Macaca mulatta: one gene and its partner. The protein of the gene in region 1 purifies or fractionates together with the protein of each later gene. This does not show direct contact. Links are inferred from orthologs where the notes say so. Each region holds a gene or a part of one and is shown in the gene's direction. Other genes may lie near its edges.

Region 1 (4,045 bases):
TTTATTTATTTATTTATTTTTAATTAATTAAATATTTTTTTTGAGACAGAATTTCACTCTTTCACCGAGGCTGGAGTGAAGTGGCGCAATCTCGGCTCGCTGCAACCTCTGCCCTCCGGATTCAAGCGATTCTCCTGCCTCAGCCTCCTGAGTAGCTGGGATTACAGGTGCGTGCCACCACGCCCGGCTAATTTTTGTATTTTCAGTAGAGACGGGATTTCACCATCTTAGCCAGGCTGGTCCTGAACTCTTGACCTCAGGTGATCCACCCGCCTCGGCCTCCCAAAGTGGTAGGATTACAGGCGTGAGCCACCGCGCCCGGCCAGAGAATCAGATTAGTTTATGAGCTGTAGTATTCAGATGAAGTTGGGGTTATTTCTAGGCTCTAATCTCCCTCTAAAGTTAAGAGTGTCATGGGCTGGGGTCTCCATCAAGGGCCTGGAACCCAGCTTGTGTTCCTGCTCCAGGACAGAGGTTCAAACATGAAATATGGTATACTGGAGTCTTCTCTTGAAATACAAGGCGGCTTTTAGGAATTAGGGTCCCTTCTACCAAACGGAGCGCAATTACAGGCATGGTGCCTGCTAGGCATGGGAGATCAGGGCGTCCAGGACAAAACTCTGGACTCGCCCACTCTAACCCACTGTCAGCCCGGGGACCTATAGCCAGCCAACTGAGTCAATTTGTCTATGATTGGTTTGCGGCAAGAGCCAAGTGGCTCACAGCCTATTGAATAATAGAGGAGGCGGACCTGAGGCGAGGTTGGGACCTAACGTGAATAATAGAGGGAAAATGATGGACATAAAGTTGAGCCTATGGAGGCCAAGGCGGACCGGGAATCTAACTTCACCGAAAGGGCATGGACTGGGTGTTTGGCTGGTTGCTAAGGAGAGGTTGGCGCTACCGGAGCATGAGAGTGATTGGTGGACGTAAGAAAAGATGTAGCCAATGAAAGGAGAGCTGCGAGACTTAGGGCCCAATCAGTGAAGGGGAGTAGCCTGGACCGTACCGATGTGTTCATTAGGTAGGGGGAGCCCTTGGAAAATTATAGACCAGAGGTTGACAAGGTGAACCCTGGAAGCAAAGAATAGTGAAAATGTAATTTATATTTCTCCTAAAATGGAAGTAATGAGGAAATTAACTTATGCTTCTAGCCTCGATAGGAATGTGATAGAGAATTTCCCCTGTAGGTGCTTCGTATGGTGCGCTCCGCTGGATCACGTGAGCCAGTTCCAAGATGGCGGCAGGGGTGGCCGGGTGGGGGGTTGAGGCAGAGGAGTTCGAAGATGCGCCTGATGTGGAGCCGCTGGAGCCTACGCTTAGCAATATCATCGAGCAGCGCAGCCTGAAGTGGATCTTCGTCGGGGGCAAGGGTGGAGTGGGCAAGACCACCTGCAGGTAAGGAGGCTGCGGCGGGGGCCAGGAGGCGTGTAGGATATACTACTGGGCGAAGGGGAGGCCAAGGACCGGCTTTTCCACCACGACCCGGGCAAGGGGGCTGGCGGGGGTCTTTGGGTTTCACTCTCTGGAAGTTACCTGGAGCACATGAGAAAGACCTCTTCAATGCAGCCCTAGCACCCTCTGAATTGGACCATCCATGTTGGGGCTCAAGTGCAGCGCCCGGGGGACGGGGAAGCACTTAGATGTCCCCATCAGCTGGACCGTACCTGAGTGAATCCAGAGTTGTGGGTAGGGGCGGCACCAGAACAAGCAATCCTAGTTTGGTAAACCTTGGTGTTTTATGTCCAAGGCGAGAGTGAGGGTGGAAAGCGAGGGAGAGGGCACATGATCAGACTGTCCCAGGCAGCTACAGGCAGGAGGTGTCCATGCGGCAGATTATCCTGGACAAGTGGACCGAACCATCCTGTGCTTACCAGGGAGTGCAAGGGATCCCTTAGCTTATTAAAGAAGGGAGCACGGAGTCAAGCTATGCTGGCTGGACAGCTGGGCCATGCCACTGTGTGCCCAGCAAAGAAGCAGCAGGCACTAGGCCAGACATACTCAGTCATTTGAACCTTATCTCTCTAGTCCACATAGAAGGGTCAGTAGATAAATCAGAGAGGGTTCCTTTGTAGGGATTGAGGCTCAATCCCACCGTAACCCATACTCTCCTCTCAAGGCCCCTGCTGATCCGGGTCACCTGCTCCAGGGAAACTACCACTACCCTTGCAGACCCAGGGAACAGAGCCCAACCCCTCATCCCCTGTCTTTTTACTTTTCCTTTACCCAGCTGCAGTCTGGCAGTCCAGCTCTCCAAGGGGCGTGAGAGTGTGCTGATCATCTCCACAGACCCAGCTCACAACATCTCAGATGCTTTTGACCAGAAGTTCTCAAAGGTGCCTACTAAGGTCAAAGGCTATGACAACCTCTTTGCTATGGTGAGTGGAGCAGGGCTTAGCCCCCACTTCTGGGAAAGGCCTCTTCCAGCCTTTCCTGTGTGCACACACCAGCAGCCACCATGTCCTATCCACTCTTTATCCTGTGTCTCTCCTGTTTCACCCCTTCCTCAACATACTCACAAGAGAACCAATGAGGAATTGCAGAGCGGGAAGCACACCAGAGTGCCTAAAGCTTATTGAGCCAGGGTAGGGGAAGAAGAAGTTGGAGAGACCAATCAGAGCCACAAAGTGTGGTACCTTATGGGCCACGGTAAGAAGTTTGGCATTGACTCCAGGTTCAATGGAAAGCTGTTTGTTTTAAGCAGGGCAGTGTCGTGGCCAAATTCATGTTTGAAAAGTACCCTCTGATGGCCAGGTGGAGATTTAATTGTCAGTCAGTGTAGAAGCATGGAAACTAACAAGGAGATTGGGGATGTAACCAGTTGAGAGATGACAACATCCTGGACTCTGGTGGAGGCAGAATGCTGGGGGAGACATAGTCAGATTTGAGATTTTTTTCTTTTTTTTTAAACACTCAGGAATCCTGTGTCTCCCAGGCTGGAGTGCAGTGACCCGATCTAGGCTCACTGCAACCTCCACTTCCCAGGTTCAAGCAATTCTCATGCCTCAACCTATTGAGTAGCTGGCATTACAGGCATGCCCCACCACTGCCTGTTAATTTTGTATTTTTAGTAGAGACAGATTTTCACCATGTTGGCCAGGCTGGGCTTGAAGTCCTGACCTCAAATGATCTGACCGCCTCGGCCTCCCACAGTGCTGAGATTACAGGCATGAGCCACCACATCGCACTAGGGATGTATTTTGGAAGTAAGCCAGTGAGATTACTTGGTTGTAATGGGTGAGAGAAAGAAATGAATTGATTACATGTCTTTCTTGTCTCTCTAAGCAGCTAGGATGGGGAAAACTAGGAAAGGAGTAGGTGTAGAATGGACAAATCAAGAATTTCATTTTCTCCGCAGTGAATCTGAGGTGCCCACTGGAAATCCAAGTGGAAACATCATGACAATAGCTTGTTTATGTGAGTCTGGAGCCCAGAGGAGGTTGGCATTCATTTGGAAGTCACTGTCCCAAGGTTGGCATTTAAAGCTGTGTGAGGGCTGGGCATCGTGGCTCACGCCTGTAATCCTAGCACTTTGAGAAGCCAAGGTGGGCGGATCACTTGAGGTTAGGAGTTCGAGACCAGCCTGGCCAATATGGTGAAACCCTGTCTCTACTAAAAATATAAAACAGGGCCGGGCGCGGTGGCTCAAGCCTGTAATCCCAGCACTTTGGGAGGCCGAGACGGGTGGATCACGAGGTCAGGAGATCGAGACCATCCTGGCGAACACCGTGAAACCCCGTCTCTACTAAAAAATACAAAAAACTAGCCGGGCGAGGTGGTGGGCGCCTGTAGTCCCAGCTACTCGGGAGGCTGAGGCAGGAGAATGGCGTAAACCTGGGAGGCGGAGCTTGCAGTGAGCTGAGATCCGGCCACTGCACTCCAGCCCGGGCTACAGGGCGAGACTCTGTCTCAAAAAAATAAAAAAATAAAACAGTTAGCTGGGCACGATGGCAGGTGCCTGTAATACCAACTACTCATGAGGCTAAGGCAGGAAAATCACTTGAACCCAGGAGACAGAGATTCTCCTGCGTCAGCCTCCAGAGTA
Region 2 (4,125 bases), on another chromosome or scaffold:
TCAGCTTTGTGCTCCTCCTGGGCGGCCTTTTCCTGGCCTATCGCATGGGGGTCTTCATCCTGGCAGGCGTCCGGCTACCTATCGTACTGGTGGGTATCACAGTGCCCCTGGTTGGCCTGTTGGTGGGCTACTGCCTGGCCACATGTCTGAAGCTGCCTGTGGCCCAGCGGCGGACGGTCAGCATTGAGGTAGGGGTGCAGAACAGCCTGCTGGCCTTGGCCATGCTGCAGCTATCCCTCCGCCGCCTTCAAGCTGACTATGCCTCCCAGGCCCCCTTCATTGTGGCGCTGAGCGGCACCTCCGAGATGCTGGCCTTGGTCATTGGCCACTGCATCTACAGTAGCCTGTTCCCAGTTTCCTGAGGCCTCTGGGTCAAGCTTTCATCAGCCCCAGCCCCCACACTCCACCAAAGTTCTCATGCACTATGCACTCAGAAAAATCCAGGCTTATTTTTTTTACTGATTTTTTATTCTCCAGCTTTCAGTGCCACAGAGGCCATGCTGAGTTAGGTAGGTGGGCGCTGCCCAGAAAATATATTTCAATAAAACAGAGAAGCAAGCTTGGGTCCCTTCTAATCTTTGCCCTTTGGGGCCTGGGCGTGGGGGTAGAAAGAGTGTGCTGGGTAGGTGTGGACCAGGGTGGAGGGCCAGCTTGGGTGACACGGTGACCCCTGCATAGGCTTTCTCTATCAGCCCTCCCGGGGCGTGTCCCCACTGTAGGAGAGGTGGGAGGATGAGGGCAGAGGCTGGCCCCCCTACCCCCTCTCAAGCTCAGTGGGGTGTTTCGCAGCCAGACCAGAAAGGAGGAGCCAGAAAGCCACCAGGCAGGGAGCCGGCGGGGGGGGCGCCGTCTGTGGGTATGCAGGGCCAGGTTCCGCCAGCAGTAACGGCGCGTGGGGTGGTCCAGGCAGTCTGCGGGGGCGAGCGTACCTTCTGGTCCTTCCTTCTCCATTCCCTAGCTCCCAGATGACGCCAACCTGGCCCGACTAGTTCCTGCTCCCAACTCCCCGGCGCTGTTGCTTTGGGAGGGGTCCGCCGGCCAGGGCGGTCGCTGCGCGTGTGCTAGGCGGGACCCCAGGGGCACTCCTCCCGGGGTGCAACTGGGCCGGGGGGCGGGGCCGGGGCGTGGACGAGGCAGGAGGGCGGGGCCGGGAAGCGCGGGCGGCGGGCGCGCCCCTCTCGCTGCTTCCGGCGGCGGCGGGCGGTTCCAGCGCGCGCCCGGGGCGGCGGCGCGCGGCGGGGGGTGGTTGGGGTGCGCGCCGGCCCGAGTGGACGCCGTCGCGACCGCCATGCAGCTGACGGTGAAGGCGCTGCAGGGCCGGGAGTGCAGCCTGCAGGTAGGGTCCCCGGGCCGGGCGGCCGGGTCCGGCGCGCTCTCTCGCCGGCTCCTGGCAGGGTGACCAGCAGGGCCAAGGGCGGGCACGGGGCGGCCGGGCCGGGGACTGGGAGCCGGGAGAGCTGCCCTCGGGAGCGGACGCGTGGGCTTCGCCGCCTGGGGACCGCGGCCTCAACCCTTGCCTCCCACCCTCCGCGCGGCCAGGTGCCGGAGGACGAGCTGGTGTCCACGCTGAAGCAGCTGGTCTCCGAGAAGCTGAACGTCCCCGTGCGCCAGCAACGGCTGCTTTTCAAGGGCAAGGCCCTGGCAGGTACCCAGGGAGAGGAGACGCCCAGGGAGCCCCGCAGGAAGCGGGACTGGGGTGCGCGGGCCGAGGCCGGCAGCCGTGTAACGGGTTGGGGTGCCGGCGCCAAGCGCCACATGACCCCAAGGGAGGCGGCCGCATGCCTCACTGCCGGATGCCGCAGCGCTCCGCTCCCGCCGCCCGAGGCGGTCTCGCGTCCCGGGCCACCCCCACGGCGGCGGAGGAGGAGGAACCCATCGATCTGTCTTTGGCAGATGGGAAACGACTCTCGGATTATAGCATCGGGCCCAACTCCAAGCTCAACCTAGTGGTCAAACCCCTGCAGAAGGTGCTACTAGAAGAAGGCGAGGCCCAGAGGCTGGCCGACTCCCCACCCCCGCATGTCTGGCAGCTAATCTCCAAAGTCTTGGCCCGCCACTTCAGTGCGGCAGATGCCAGCAGGGTCCTGGAACAGCTACAGAGGGTGAGAAGGGTAACCCTGGGTATCCTCTCCAGGCCCAGTTCCTCCCAGCCCCTACCTCTGTTGCAGTGTATGGCTCCCCACTGGCAGCCCCTGAATCTTCCTGCCCTTCTCTCCCCAGGATTACGAGAGGTCCCTGAGCCGCCTGACGCTGGACGACATCGAACGGTTGGCCAGCCGCTTCCTGCACCCTGAAGTGACTGAGACGATGGAGAAAGGCTTCTCCAAATAGCATTCTCGGAGCATGGGGAGGTGCCCAGTGCCAGGCCACAGCAGCATGTCACACTAAGTGTGTTCACCTGTTGCAGTTGGGCTCATAATAATAGCTGGCATGTACCTGGCTCTGGCCACGTGCTAGGCACTCCTCACAGCTTGACCTGGGTTTGCTTCCACACCCTCAGAAGAGGTGAGCCAGCACAGCAGAGGCACTGGCGGTGAAGTGGCGGAGCCCCAGTCGGAATCCAGCGGCTTCTGAAAGTGCCTTGGTGTGAGAAGGAGGAAGGGGCTGCTTGGAGAGCTGGGCTCTGGCATGTCATGTTTAGCCCACTGAGAATATACCCTCAGGTGACTCCTTCCCAATCCTGAAAGGGAAAGCAGCTGTCACCTGACCTCTGGCGGGTCCAACATAGCCTTCAGCTTACCTCTGCAGGAGGCCAAGTGACAGCCAGCCCTGGAACCACCACACCCCCAGCAGCTGCTGCAGCCAGTGTGCTTTCGACAAATGAAAAAGCAGGTTGGGGCCAGGGAGTCAGCAAGTCACCCCAGCTCTGTGATGTGACTTCGGGGGAGTCTCAGTGCCACTTTGGTCCCCAGCCACGGACTTTATACAGTGAGGGCCACTCCCCGACCTGAGTCAGTGTCCTTCGTCTCACAGTGCCCCCCTCCCTTCTGTTCAGTAAACAAACTGAAGCCAAAAGCGAAGCAGTGGCCAAGTGTGACCCAGAGATGGGGTGTCCTGGCCCTTAGTGACACAGCTCCTCTCTGGGCACCCTGTCTGCTTGTCTCCTCCAGGAAGCGTTAGGGCTGATGGGTGACTCAGCAAGGCAATGTCAGAACTGGGGCTGGGCATAGGCCTTTGTCCTCGTCCCCAGCACTCGCCTCCCTGTGGAAGATGAACACATCAGCCACCTGTGTACAGCCGCTCACTTCGTGTGCTCCTTGTTGCCTGAGAGGAAACCTTGGGGTGCCAGGGTGGGGACAGAAACATGGGCTGGGTTCCGGTTCCTTCTCCACTGTGCCCTGTGCATGGGCACAAGAGGACATCTAGCCACCTGCTCCTTGGAGGCCCCCAGGGGTGGTAGAGGCTAGAAGGAAGCCACAGCAGGAGGACGCCACTCTGGGCCCTCCACCCTTGCCAAGTGAGCCGCTCACAGTGTGGTCGGGGCTGCACGTGCTGGAGGCCCTCCTGCCTGGGCCTGATGGGGCAAATATTGGGTCCCCGGGCTGGAAAGATGGACAGAGGCCCAATGGGTGAAGGCTTTGAAGAGCACACAGAAGCCCCTGGCCCCCCACGAGAGCTGGAGAGCCATGTATATGGCTTCAAAGCCACCTATGGCAGGGACACACTTGTGAGCATGGGTGGCCTGCAGCTCAGGTGATACATTTACCAGTGCTCTTGTTTGCGTGGTGCCAGGAAATTGATTTTGGAAAATGAAATAACATTAAAGGTGAATGTGAGACTTCCACTTTTATCCAAAAGGAGCTATATTAGCTAGGCTGTTTCTGATATCCAATCATTGGTTTAACAATAAAGGCAATTTGTTTAATCAGTAACGGAAATTTCTTGGCTTATGAAAGTGAAAAGCCCAGTGGTATCGGCATTGGCAGCAGGGGAGCAATTCTTCCAGTGTCTTCCTGCCTCCCTCTGCGTTTGTGTCTGCCACATCCCAGGCCACCACCTCCAAGGATGAAAAGGTGGCTGCCTGCAGCTTCCACAGAATCCCTCCCTCACTGCCTCACTGCCAGAGCAGCACCTTCTCTGTAGCACCTCTGCTGTCTCAGATGCCTCCAGCAAATAAACACCCTT

Evidence for each region. Proteins that work in one complex are often made in the same cells at the same time.
Region 2: the proteins of GET3 (region 1) and UBL4A purify together in Homo sapiens (affinity purification with mass spectrometry; 4 studies listed by BioGRID and IntAct, with this or other methods). This does not show direct contact. The link is inferred for Macaca mulatta from reciprocal best matches to the Homo sapiens genes GET3 and UBL4A.

Annotation. Positions count from the first base shown.
Region 1 is NC_133424.1:13,293,231-13,297,275, forward strand, and holds the start of GET3 (ATPase GET3), read left to right. Parts: upstream 1-1,228; 5' UTR 1,229-1,237; coding exon 1,238-1,398; intron 1,399-2,230; coding exon 2,231-2,378; intron 2,379-4,045.
Region 2 is NC_133426.1:160,668,902-160,673,026, reverse strand, and holds the start of UBL4A (ubiquitin-like protein 4A), read left to right. Parts: upstream 1-1,280; 5' UTR 1,281-1,288; coding exon 1,289-1,336; intron 1,337-1,539; coding exon 1,540-1,645; intron 1,646-1,893; coding exon 1,894-2,102; intron 2,103-2,220; coding exon 2,221-2,331; 3' UTR 2,332-4,125. Other genes in the region: SLC10A3 (P3 protein), read left to right, coding at 1-362. UniProt on the Homo sapiens protein: As part of a cytosolic protein quality control complex, the BAG6/BAT3 complex, maintains misfolded and hydrophobic patches-containing proteins in a soluble state and participates in their proper delivery to the endoplasmic reticulum or alternatively can promote their sorting to the proteasome where they undergo degradation.